Linked DNA regions of Drosophila melanogaster. The protein of the gene in region 1 binds, or shares a complex with, the protein of each later gene. Each region holds a gene or a part of one and is shown in the gene's direction. Other genes may lie near its edges.

Region 1 (3,450 bases):
AAAGTTCTAAGCTAGTCGATAAAGTGAAGCCAAAACCTAATTGCCATGAAGTCGAGCTCATCGTGTGTTTGTTTTGCTTTACTTACCCATTGCAGGCACCTCGAGGAATTGCTAGACGGGTCCATTAGCAGTCAATCAGCCGCAGAGAAGAGCCAGCAAAAGATACAGATACAGGCGGAGCAAAAGATACAGGATGCACGAGAGACAAGTGAAGAAGTGAGTAGCGCGGATGGGCCACTTAACGGCTAATACAGCGGCGATAACATTTGCGATCCAATTACAGGTTGAAGGGCAGCCATTATGTGGCCACGCACGGTCGCCTCACTCCGGATCCGCCCTACGTCCACTCGAACCGCGGCTATTCCACCGACGGCGATGAGACCCACTCCCACCGGGCGCCCTCGGAGCGCACCTATTCGGAGTACACGTTGACCCACGAGCGCATCTCGCCGCAGTACAATGGTTCGCGCAAGAAGCGCTCCTCATCCTCGAATGGAAACCATCAGCATCAGCACCTGCAGAGCAGCTACAGCCACAGTCAGATGGGCCTCTCCAGTTCGCCGGACAACGGAGGACCTCGCTCCCTCAGCGGACCGCCGCCCACGCGCCAGCCACCGCGTGCTCCGTCCGCCCTGAGCTATGACCAGGCTGGTGACGCCGGCAGCGACATCTATGTGACCAGTGCCGCCTACAAGGCGCCCTCCGAGATCAGGTGCGTTGTTACAACTATATAGCATATAACCCATATCTAAACTATCTATCATCCATTACAGTCGCTACAGTCAGCGTCCAGTGTCGCGAGGAGCTCCACGGAGTGTTTACTCCGTGGCCAGTACGGCCAAAACCGGACGCAGTGCGCGCTCGACGACTCGGCGAGGCGCCAAAGTGGAAACCATGTCCGCGCCGAATCCATTTTGCCCCAATGTCAAGGGCGTGTGCTGTCTGATGCTGTTGCTCAACTTGGGCCTGATCCTGGTGACGCTAGGATTCGTCATTGTGGTGCAGTTCTATGAGCCACTGTACGTGTGGATACTGGGAATTGTGTTCCTGGTCTTCGGCTTCCTCACGCTAATCGGCTGCATGATCTACTGTGTGTACGTGTTCCGGGATGCGAAGACGCCATCGCAGGTGCGCAACGAGGATCTCTACTGGACGCGGCACTGGCAGAAGAATATCGGATACACGCCGCAGGAGATCAACTACAAGGCGGACAAGTACGATGCCTACTCGGATCGCTATTCGGTTAGCAAGCTGAGTGGCAAATACTCGGATCGCGAGAGCCAGCGATACTGATTGTTATGCATATGTACATATGTATGTATGTACATACATATGCGGTTTGATGAAAGGGGATCCTTTGGGCGGAGAAGAAATATGAATAGCCACATATAAACCACTTATATCTTAACTAATTGTAAGACTATCTACTAGTTCTAAACGGTTATTAACAAGGCCCCTCCAACGTACCTGCTGCAAGTTGCTTGCTGGTTTGTATGTTTTAAGAGTGAAACTGACGGGAGACGCGAACGCGAGGATGCAACAGAGTATTGTAATCTGCCATATTTGAGAAGGTTTGTTAGGTTTGATTTGGCTAATCAACAGAAGAGTTTTATGCTAAAATTGTAACTGCAATTGTAACACACGAGAAATAAACAAGCAAATAATACCTACTAGAGATAACGCTGCGAATTTGTTTTATTTTTGAACAGTCTCTTCTACTCTTTGCTTTTGAGTACTTGATTCCCTTTTTTTTGAGTGTATGAAATAACCCATGTGGCAACTCCTATTAGTCTGGCAACCTCTCTGTTACGGTATTTTTACAACGTGGTATTAACAGCGCTCCGGAATACTATACGGTATATTTCAGCAATCGAAGAACGGCCACATTGCGGTGTGGAAAATAAACAAATTGCAATTATTGCTTAGCACAAACGATTTGCCGTGATAATGTCGTTTCATTTGAGCACAAAAGAGCGCCTTCTGCTCCTGATCGACGACATTGAGATGATTGCCAAGGAGTTGATCGAGCAGGCGCACCAGAAGATCTCCAGCACCGAATTGGTGGACCTGTTGGATTTGCTGGTGGCCAAAGATGAGGAATTTCGCAAAATGCTGGAACTGGCGGAGGAGCAGGCGAAAGTGGAGGAGGCGATGGACCAACTGCGCGCTAAGGTCGAGGTGCACGTAAGTAGAAGTTTTGCATTCCCCAAAAATAAGGTATAATCTGGATTTTCCCGCTTAGGACCGTGAGATCCAGAAGCTGCAAAAGTCGCTAAAGGATGCGGAGCTCATACTGTCCACGGCCATCTTCCAAGCGCGACAGAAACTGGCCAGCATCAATCAGGCCAACAAACGACCGGTTTCATCCGAGGAGCTCATCAAATACGCACATCGGATTAGCTCCGCCAATGCGGTCAGTGCTCCGCTCACCTGGTGCATAGGTGACCTGCGGCGTCCCTATCCCACGGACATTGAGATGCGCAACGGGCTGCTGGGTAAATCCGAGCAGAACATCAACGGCGGAACAGTGACCCACCAGAACAGCGGCATGCCCTCGGAGCAGCAGCGAACGCTGTCCGGTAGCGCAGGAAGTGGGAGTGGCAGTGGCGCCGGCGGCGAGGTGCCCAATGCCTTCCAGAACCAGTTTAACTGGAATCTCGGAGAGCTGCACATGACCATGGGCGCCTCTGGGAACACAGTGGCCCTGGAGACGCGCGCCCAGGACGATGTGGAGGTCATGTCCACGGATAGCTCAAGCTCCAGTTCCAGCGATTCGCAGTAGAATTGGATAAAAAACTATAACTAAATCTCGTTTAAGCTAGTAGTATTAGGTATTTAATAAAAGCGCGCTGTAAGGAAGTCTAGTTATGTATATATTTGAGTAGCTGGGATACATATCTAATTTTATGACCTTCTTTAATGATATTAATTTACAATTTAAATTGGCATTTAAAAAAATGCAAAGTTATGTATCAGTGGAAACAGCTTATAATAGCTTCGTGTCAAGAGCTTGGTACTTTTGCGCTAGTGCGATACGGTCCTCCTCAACCATATAAACAATCGATTGGCAGGGTCGCGTGCAATCGATACTTTGACAGCTCGCAATTATTTTAGCTTTGGTTTTTCAAATAAAATGGAATGCAACGCGTATGCAGCGTGTTTCAAGTAGCTAAAATGTGGCCAAGGTGTAGTCCAGTGTCGCCGCCAATCGCAGATCAGCCCCGTGTGCGTCTTTAACGAGAGATAAGCCCCGAAAACGATAGTAGAAAACCGACCCCCCGTTCGCAGTGTGTGTGTACAGAGGGCGAAGCGAAGCGAAGGCTCGACTCAAACCAATTGCAATATCAAATATAAAGAAAAAGTGGAAGTGGAAGGTGGAGTGGAGTGGAGGCCAGGGAGCGAGAGACACCGCCATCGCCACTTGCATCGCCGCATCCGCAATCGGGTTAC
Region 2 (5,010 bases), on another chromosome or scaffold:
GATTTGAGCTAATGCGCGTATGTTTGGCAACTCAAACACTTAGCCACACTGTTGCAGCGGCAATTAAGACTTGTAACCAAAACAAGCAATTACATCGAAATAGTTCCGAAGTTGCAGCTTCTACGGCTGCATTTGTCCAAAAAGATAATGATTACTTTGATTGCCTGAATAGCAGAGTATTAACTGACAAAAACCCCATGAAATGCGCGCTCCAAGTTAACAATGGAGTTTGGAACAAACTAAAGGAAATGCAGGAATACCTAAAGAGCGTTAAATATCACGGGAATAAAATATATTGTGTTGATGGCTTGATCCAAACTACTGAAGCTATATTTGGACTCGTCGAAGATCTCTTTAAGGATCACACAGACCACTTTTTCTTTTTAACTAGTAGAGTTAACCAGGATCCCCTTGAAAATATATTTGCGTGCGTTCGAGCAAAAGGTGGTAACTGCAGAAATCCTTCAGTTAACGAATTTAATATAATAATTGCCAAGCTCATATCTCTACACATTTTTAAATTTTCACAAAAGTCGAATTGCGAATCAGATGATGATGTTATGTTGCCAATAGAGTTCGATTCGATAATATATCAGCCTTTCGTTGAAAAAAAAGAAATACAGCAACAAGAATACTCTGTATCATTTTCCAAAATCGTGCAAGACAATGAGAGGTACTTTGACCAAAATATAGATAACTTTTTGTGCAATGATGTACCCATTGAATTAACTTCCAGTAGATATTTTGTTGGATATATTGCTAAGGGATCCAGTTGCGATAAATGCAGATCGGTAATTTTAAAAGAAACCGAGCATTTAACAGCTCCATCAGAGCTTTTTATACATGAGAAAAACTACTCAATAGAATCGGACTTCGGGAAATTAAGGGCACCATCTGATTTATTTTTTAATATTTACAAAATACACATTAAAGCTTTCGAAAATATTTTTAAAAATAATAAAAAACAAATGTGTATAAAAAAATTTATTGTTGAGCAATGCATTAAGTGCACAAATGAAAGTAGTGCCTTCCCATTATGGTTTTATGAAAATAATGAATGTTATGCACATAGAACAGATCTTTTAAACAAACTTATAAAAGTTTTGCTTTTTAAGCATTGTAAGTGGACTGTGATAGCTGATAGACAAAAAAAGCAAGCTAAGCTCAGCATTCTATCTCATGAATAAAAAAAATGAGCGTTATTTAAATAACTGACGACTGAAAAATCGAGCAATATATAATAAAAAACAATAGTTAGAAAAATAACTTAATTGGGGAATATGGAAATGTTTTAATGTTAAACATTAAAATATTTCAAGTCGACTCGAAGGTCATATACGTAAATATAAGACCCCATTACAATTGTAATGGCCTCCCCGTAGTGTTCCCTGGGTACCGACTATTACACATATTACACATAAATAATTATCAACATAAATATAAATATGTAAACGGTAGCTAATTCGAGCGGCGATTTTAACAAACGAATTTAAAAAGCTTTAAAATTAAAAAATTTTAAAATTAAAATTAAAATTTTAAAATTATAATAAGAAGGGCGCGAATTTTTAAAAATTATTTTATTTCATCATATTGCTACGAAATTGGCAAAAAACTACCCTAATATGTACAATGTAAATTCATTTCTTTGATCAGAATTGATTTCGGCCCGAAAATCGTCTTCTAGCACAACACCCACACATATACGCGTTCCCGTCTCTTGTTTTTACTCACACAAGCAAGCAAATTCTATTTTTAGATTTCTTATGTTCTCAGCGTGAGCGAGCGGAAAGAGAGCAATTTTGGCCGTCACCAAAAAAGTGGCTGCATAGTGCCAAACCAATGTATGGCCGTTACGCATCTTGTTATTCTAGTGTCTTTGGTATGGCCGTTACGCATCTTGTTATTTATATGGCTTTGAATAGACCATGTGCAGTGTGATTAATGTGGGGGTATGTATTAAAAACGACATATAATATAAGTATATTTATGTATGTGCAAAAGGAATATATCAGGATATTTCGGTAAGAGCGACAAACCAGCCAAGTGTGAATTTATGAAGTTGATGCATCTATATTTTTGCAAATCTCAAGTTTATATGCAGAAGAGTCACTGTCGTTATATTTGAATTTTGCTCACTAGCGGAGATGATTAAATTTTTTATTATTGTACTGAAATACAAAAATGTTTTTTAAACTTAATTAGCATTTTAAGTAATAATAGTTTTTCTCCGGTATTCTAACGTTACCAGTGTGAACGGATCGGACAAGCATTCTTCCTAATTTAGTACTACTAACCGTTTATATTCCAATTACACTATATATATGGACACAGTCAGTTTTGGTTTTTGTCAAACACGGAAACACAGTATAAGCATGGGGTAGCTCAGTTCTTAGACGGGAAGGTCAATAAAATCTCTTCTGCTCGAGGTTCAGAATAAGAATAATATTATAGAACATATTAAAAAAAAAGCCGCTGTGGTAAAATGTGAATATAAAAAATTAAACATATTCTTTTTCTGTTGCTTATTAAATGTAAAATATATTCTTATATACAAAAGGCTTCCAAAGGTTTTGCAATAAGAAAAAAATATATACTCGATTTTGGTGCTGAAGGATAGTACTATAGTTTACTTTTTTTCAATTGTGAGATGATCCCTTAACCCAAGTTATGGGGTTTGGTAATTGTAAGCCATTTGTTTGTTTTTTGTTTTTGAAGAACACCGAGAGCATTTGTTTTGTACAAATCCTATATATACACACTTTTTTCAAATATTTCGCATTGAAATGAAAGAGTTTAAGAATCTTTATATATCCTTAACAAAAAAAAAACGGCATTGCTAGTCCGAATAAAATAAGTTAAGGGTAAAAAAACAAACAATATTTTAATATTCTCCATATTAAGTAAAGCGGGTAACTGGACGGAGAATCTACGAAATCGTTTTATATTTTACAAAATATATAGGACAACGGGAAAATATCCAAACCACAAAGCAACAAAACCTTCATTTTCTGGTCTGGTATATTTGACCCTTTTTTCATTTTGAGATTCACGCATTTAGCCCAAAAATGGACGTTTACTTTATATAATACTCCTATAGGTTTTCATGTCACATATAATACAATTCCTCTTCAATTCTGTTTGATAGCAGTATGATCAGGCCTTCCTGTTAAAAGAAATTCACGTGAAAGTATATCGATAATAATTGTTAAATACTTATCGATTTTCTGCCACCCTTGAAGTGCAGCTGTCATTGGTAAAAATGGCGAATTGTAATAAAGTCGGGAAGTCAACCATAAATTATTAATTTTCCTTATTTTGGACAAATACAAATTTTCATATTCAAGGAAGTGCGCTCAGGAAGCACAGACTTTACATTCGAAGTGTGCATATTTGTAAGCATAACGATTGAGCAATACACGTTTTGTATTGGTATGAGTGTTTCACAGACACGCTACTAACTCGGGTATTAAAATTTTTGAACTTCTGGGTCTTTAAACTTTACTTAATAGCAATTTTACGGCTATTTATAATAGTATTTATTTTGCAACAACGTGAAGTGAATACACTATAACTTTTTACTTTCTACCTACTACTTACTTTTCTATTACTTTCCTTATTTTTCTAACTTGGACAGTATTTGCATTTCGCCGTCCCTTGAATCTGGATCAGGGCAATATTTACGCACCGCAAGATATAAATGAACCAAATCGAAATACAGGAACTTACTACTCACCTATCCCAGGCACTTGATCAAAACTACGATGTAAGAAAACGTATTACCTTATCAACAAATCAGTTAATGTAAAGATCTTTTCAGGTCGTCAATATGGACGCAGTTCTCTGTGTCATATGTGCATTGGAGGGTACAACTATCACCAAGGAGCAGTTGGAGGCCACCAGATTGGCTAAGTACATAAATCAGCTCAGAAGAAGGACTAAGAATGAACATTTGGCTCGACGTGCAAAATCCTTGCTGAAAAAGTGGCGGGAAATGGTAGGAATTCAGCAAACAGCCACTGAAAATTTGGCACATCCCAGTCAAATTTCATCTTCACAACCAGCATTAGATTTGGTTAAGTCCCCTATCACCAGCTTTATTACAGAACCAATTGCTCCTTCGCAGCAAATAGTTTCAGATTTGCATTCAAATATCGACTCTGCGGAGCCTCCGCTTTCGGGTGAACATACCCTACTTCATCCGAACTTCTCCAACCTTGTAAATAGTATAAAAGATAGCGATCGCCACGAAAACATCGCTATAACGACATTGCATACTCACAAGGATCGGCGACATTCGCATTCCATCCGAAGTTGCCACGTGGCCTCTCCTCAGCCCATCGTCATAGATCATTCGGTAAATTCCGTGATTAACTTGACCGATGACAGCACCGTGAAGATAAACGAAGCTTCAGTTGTTATTGACATAGCTTCGGATTCCGATGAGAATGACAATAACGGTTCGTTAAATCCAAAAAAATTAAACTCAATTGTTCCTGCGCCACTTCCAATACCATCTACACCAAGCTCACGGCAACGCAAATTAAAAAAGGAAAAAAGAAGTAAGGAAAGAGAAGGACAGGTCGCAACAAATACAAGATTTGGTGCAAAAGCCAGCGACGGGTTTCAACAGGCCGCTCTGACAACAGATTCGGGTATGATTCAATTGTATTTGTCTTTGTGTCTATCCTTGCAGAAGCTCAAAGAAGCTGGGTTCGGAAAAATGGAATTTTCGAAATTTGAAAGCTGGAATCGTGTGCCCACCAATTAGTTTTTTTTTGTCCACGTCCAGTCTTTGAGATCTGAATTTTCAAAAAAGTTCGATAATCAAAAAGTGTACTTTTTCAAAAATTTTATATTTTAAATTGCAATAACATCGTTTGCCAACACTTTTGAATTTTGAAAAAACGTATACTTTAGAAAATATAAGACATTCAAGTTAATCTCGGTCTATTCAGAGAATAGAGCGTTTGACCATCTCTTAAAACTAAATATTATCAATAAAAAACGTTT
Region 3 (3,444 bases), on another chromosome or scaffold:
TAAGCTTGGTGGCTTGCCGCTCGCTGCGCAAAGTGATTCGGGGCAAAAGCAGCTCGATAGCCGCCTGACCCTCCTGCTTGCAACAGTCCAGATAGTCGATGCCCAGTTGCCACATATTGTGGGACGTCATCAGATAGCTGCCGTACTCATAGATCATTGAGTGACGCAGGGCCGGAAGATCGCTGTGGGTGCATAAAATATATAGCATATTGATTGAACATAACTTCTGACAAAAAAACTCACATGTTGTTCTGATCGAAATAGCTCTTCAGCTGACCACAATGATGGATAAGATCAATCAAATGCGTTGAGAACCAGTGTGTGTCGTTAAGTTTTTGAGCATCGTATATAAATAGTCTAAGATCGTGATCCATAAGCTGAGAAACCATGCGGTTCATGCTGCACTGCTCTCTTTCCGGCCGGAGAAGACACCATCGGTTTAGCCATTTGGCTGCCGCTATTTTCAGCTCAAAGGGTTTGCAGGTGGGCTTGGTAAAGAGCAGGTATCCTGGCAGGTATTCATAGAAATCCTGGGACTCTTTGATGCCAGCATCCCACTGCTCGCTGTCGCCGGCGACCAGACGAATCAACTGCTCCAGCTCCGGCTCCGTGGCAAATAAGCCGGACTGAATCTTGCGTTCCGTATCCACGTGCCAGAACTCCCACTGCGAGTGAAACTTCTGCAGGGCATAGCCCTCTTGATACACTGGCATGGACTTCAGGATCTGTTCGGCCGCCTTGAAGCTCGTTTGTCCAGCTTTGCGATTCTGCGAGAGAACTGCTCTCGTAACATCTATTTCGCCCAGCATAATGAGTGATTTGACAATGCTCCAATAGTCATCAGATTCGCTGGCCTCCTCTCCCATGAGCAGTAGATCCGTGGCTCTGTCCTCTGCGTGCGGCGAGTGGAAACGCGCCCAGTCGAGCAGCTGCGGCACCACCAGCTGATTGCTCTGAATGTACAGAATCTCGAAGAGATGCCACAGGCATTCTGCCGCATAGAACACAACGATGGCATCACATAAGCGTTGCAGGCGCGCCTCATCTGTCTGAACCTCCGGCGATTTTTTTGCCTGCTCCAGCTTCTCCAGGCATGAGCGCACAATGCTCCTGTATGCCCGGGATATATTCACATACTCGGCACGTGTGGCCCGCGAACCCAACTGTTGCAGCGTGGCGAACGTGGCATTCGCCTCGGCGAGTACGCTGCGGAGAACGGGTTCGTCGAACAGCGTCGACTCCTGCGCCATGTAGATGAGCACCGGAACCTGTCCAGCATTCTCTGTGGGCTCATCCCGCGAACTGTGCGTCACATGCCGGTAGGCGCTGAGTGCGATTCGTGAGCCCGGCACAAAGACGCCAGTGAGTGTATTGCCACAGCGTGTGGCTAGGTCATCGCCAAGCTCCTAGATAGATTAAACGAGGTTTAATCTATTGAGTTTTTTATTTGTGCAGCTACTTACGAAGGCGAAAACACCGCTGTCGCTCATGTTGGCTTTATGTTTTTCTTCTTTATAAATTCTAAACGATTCGTTGCTTGTTATCGATAAGCAGAGGCGGCATTTGCCTGGCTCTATCGGTCTATCGTACTTCGATAGCAGGTTGTGCATCTACTACTTTTCCCTTTAGTATATTAATCGAATTAAGAGAATGTGAGGGCATTACTTTGGTATTATTACGTGTTGTCGGTAAGGTCCTATTGATTCTGACGCTGGAAATTCGATTCGTGTTTTTTATGATGGATTTGTCGCCAAACAATCAGATCGAGGACAGAAAACCCATCCTAACCGCCGACGGCCTGGTTCAGACTTCGAACTCCCCCTTCGAGCCGACCATATCGCAGGAGACGCAAACATCCAACGGAATCGGCGGCCAGTGCCATCTGACGGTTGACCAGTTGGACATTGAGATTCTGCCGATAATCTACGACATTGTGCGCTGGTGAGTGGTCATCGCGGATGCGGATTCCGGGTGTCATTGCCCCTGCACGGACAATGCCGAAAATCGGCGGATTTTAGCAACAAGTGCGCAATTAATGCCGCACCTTATATAACCTGGCGTCTTTGTGTCTTTCAGCGTGGAAAAGGATCCTCTGGAGAACGCCGTTAAGCTGCGCGAGTCCCAGGATTGCAACCACAAGGTGAGTCCTTGGTTCGTCATAAGTTGCCACCGCTATATACTTGATTTGTAGATCTTTGAACTTCAAAAACGCTTCGAATCGGCACGCGAGCAAATCCGCCAGCTCCCCGGGATCGATTTCAATAAGGAGGAGCAGCAACAGAGACTGGAACTACTGCGAAATCAGCTGAAGCTTAAGCAGCAGCTAATTCGCAAATACAAGGACACAGAGTTCTAGGCGGCAGCAAAATAAAAAAAAGGGCAAGATGGTGCTGCGACTGCTAATGCGCTACCTGGCCAACAACGAGCAGCTCATCCAGCGCATGGCGGAGAGCTATCCCATGAGACGCGCTGCCCAGTTGGTCGTTTCCCTGATGTACCGCACAAAAGACTTGGCCCGGGAGCAGGGACTGCACGAGATGACGCCAGAGCGTTTCAAGTGAGTGAAAGAATCGCCAGAATCATCTGGCTGAATCCGCCAATCTGACATGCATTTTCCAAATTGTAGATCCTTCGTTAACATGTTTAAGAACAACGTGCGCCAAGAGCTGGAGGGAGTGAAGAAGGAGCTTAATAGCAAGAAAAAGAACTAGGGTTCAGTAATTAACTTGTTTAACTACAATTGTATATACGCGGCAAGATAAATTTTAGTAAACACAGATGAATAAACATTGAAGCCAGAACATTATCTTCGGTGAATGAACCTTATTTTTGTAGAATAGGAAATTGCTTTTATTAAGGTAATTAGGAAACAAAGAAATCCTTATTCATTGCCATTTTATCTTAACACTTAAAAACAAAAGAGAACTTCAGATTGTCATTCTGAAACTATCGTTTTACAAAAAAATCAAATAATAACCTAATGTCTGCATTTACAACGCTTTCAACGTAATTTGCGTCAGCAAATTTGTTTTCATTTTCAGTTTGCATAGACATTAAACTCATCTTAAACTATAAGATTTTAATTTAAGATTCCAATTTATAAAGTCGTGTCTATTTAAGTTTATCGAGAGATAATTTAATATCATGTACACAAGTAGCATCTGGTTCAACCTGCGTTTATTCAGTGAAAAGACAAATGAAATCCATGCTGCAGTGACGTCGGTTGTCTTAAGTCTAGTGAACAAACAAAATATAGAATTTGGTTTGGCATATAGCACAATGTACAGTGGACAAGAACGGGACACGAAATAGTTTATTGGGGCACATGCCACTTTAGATTAGAAGGTCGCAAAATAAATTCATCCAATTATCTTTAAGAATTTGAAAAAAAAATACTTTAGTTTACAAAACTAGAAAGAGCCAAAACATGCAGGCGGCGCACTT

Evidence for each region. The genes of interacting proteins can lie anywhere in the genome.
Region 2: MED4 (region 1) and MED26 share a complex: the UniProt entries of both Drosophila melanogaster proteins name them as parts of the mediator complex.
Region 3: MED4 (region 1) and MED9 share a complex: the UniProt entries of both Drosophila melanogaster proteins name them as parts of the mediator complex.

The regions. Positions count from the first base shown.
Region 1 is NT_037436.4:7,248,942-7,252,391, reverse strand, and holds MED4 (mediator complex subunit 4), read left to right. Parts: upstream 1-1,864; 5' UTR 1,865-1,947; coding exon 1,948-2,184; intron 2,185-2,242; coding exon 2,243-2,782; 3' UTR 2,783-2,863; downstream 2,864-3,450. Other genes in the region: CG14830 (uncharacterized protein), read left to right, coding at 194-216, 284-712, 774-1,293. UniProt on the Drosophila melanogaster protein: Component of the Mediator complex, a coactivator involved in the regulated transcription of nearly all RNA polymerase II-dependent genes.
Region 2 is NC_004353.4:785,834-790,843, reverse strand, and holds the start of MED26 (mediator complex subunit 26), read left to right. Parts: upstream 1-1,865; 5' UTR 1,866-1,949; intron 1,950-3,229; exon of another isoform or gene 3,230-3,392; intron 3,393-3,634; 5' UTR 3,635-3,697; coding exon 3,698-3,763; intron 3,764-3,817; coding exon 3,818-4,652; intron 4,653-5,010. UniProt on the Drosophila melanogaster protein: Component of the Mediator complex, a coactivator involved in the regulated transcription of nearly all RNA polymerase II-dependent genes.
Region 3 is NT_033778.4:18,165,582-18,169,025, forward strand, and holds MED9 (mediator complex subunit 9), read left to right. Parts: upstream 1-1,673; 5' UTR 1,674-1,735; coding exon 1,736-1,941; intron 1,942-2,076; coding exon 2,077-2,140; intron 2,141-2,191; coding exon 2,192-2,356; 3' UTR 2,357-2,384; coding exon of another isoform or gene 2,385-2,557; intron 2,558-2,626; coding exon of another isoform or gene 2,627-2,711; 3' UTR 2,712-2,799; downstream 2,800-3,444. Other genes in the region: Nup75 (nucleoporin 75kD), read right to left, coding at 1-182, 244-1,406, 1,464-1,490; CG42518 (uncharacterized protein), read left to right, coding at 2,385-2,557, 2,627-2,711; Dgp-1, read right to left, coding at 3,444-3,444. UniProt on the Drosophila melanogaster protein: Component of the Mediator complex, a coactivator involved in the regulated transcription of nearly all RNA polymerase II-dependent genes.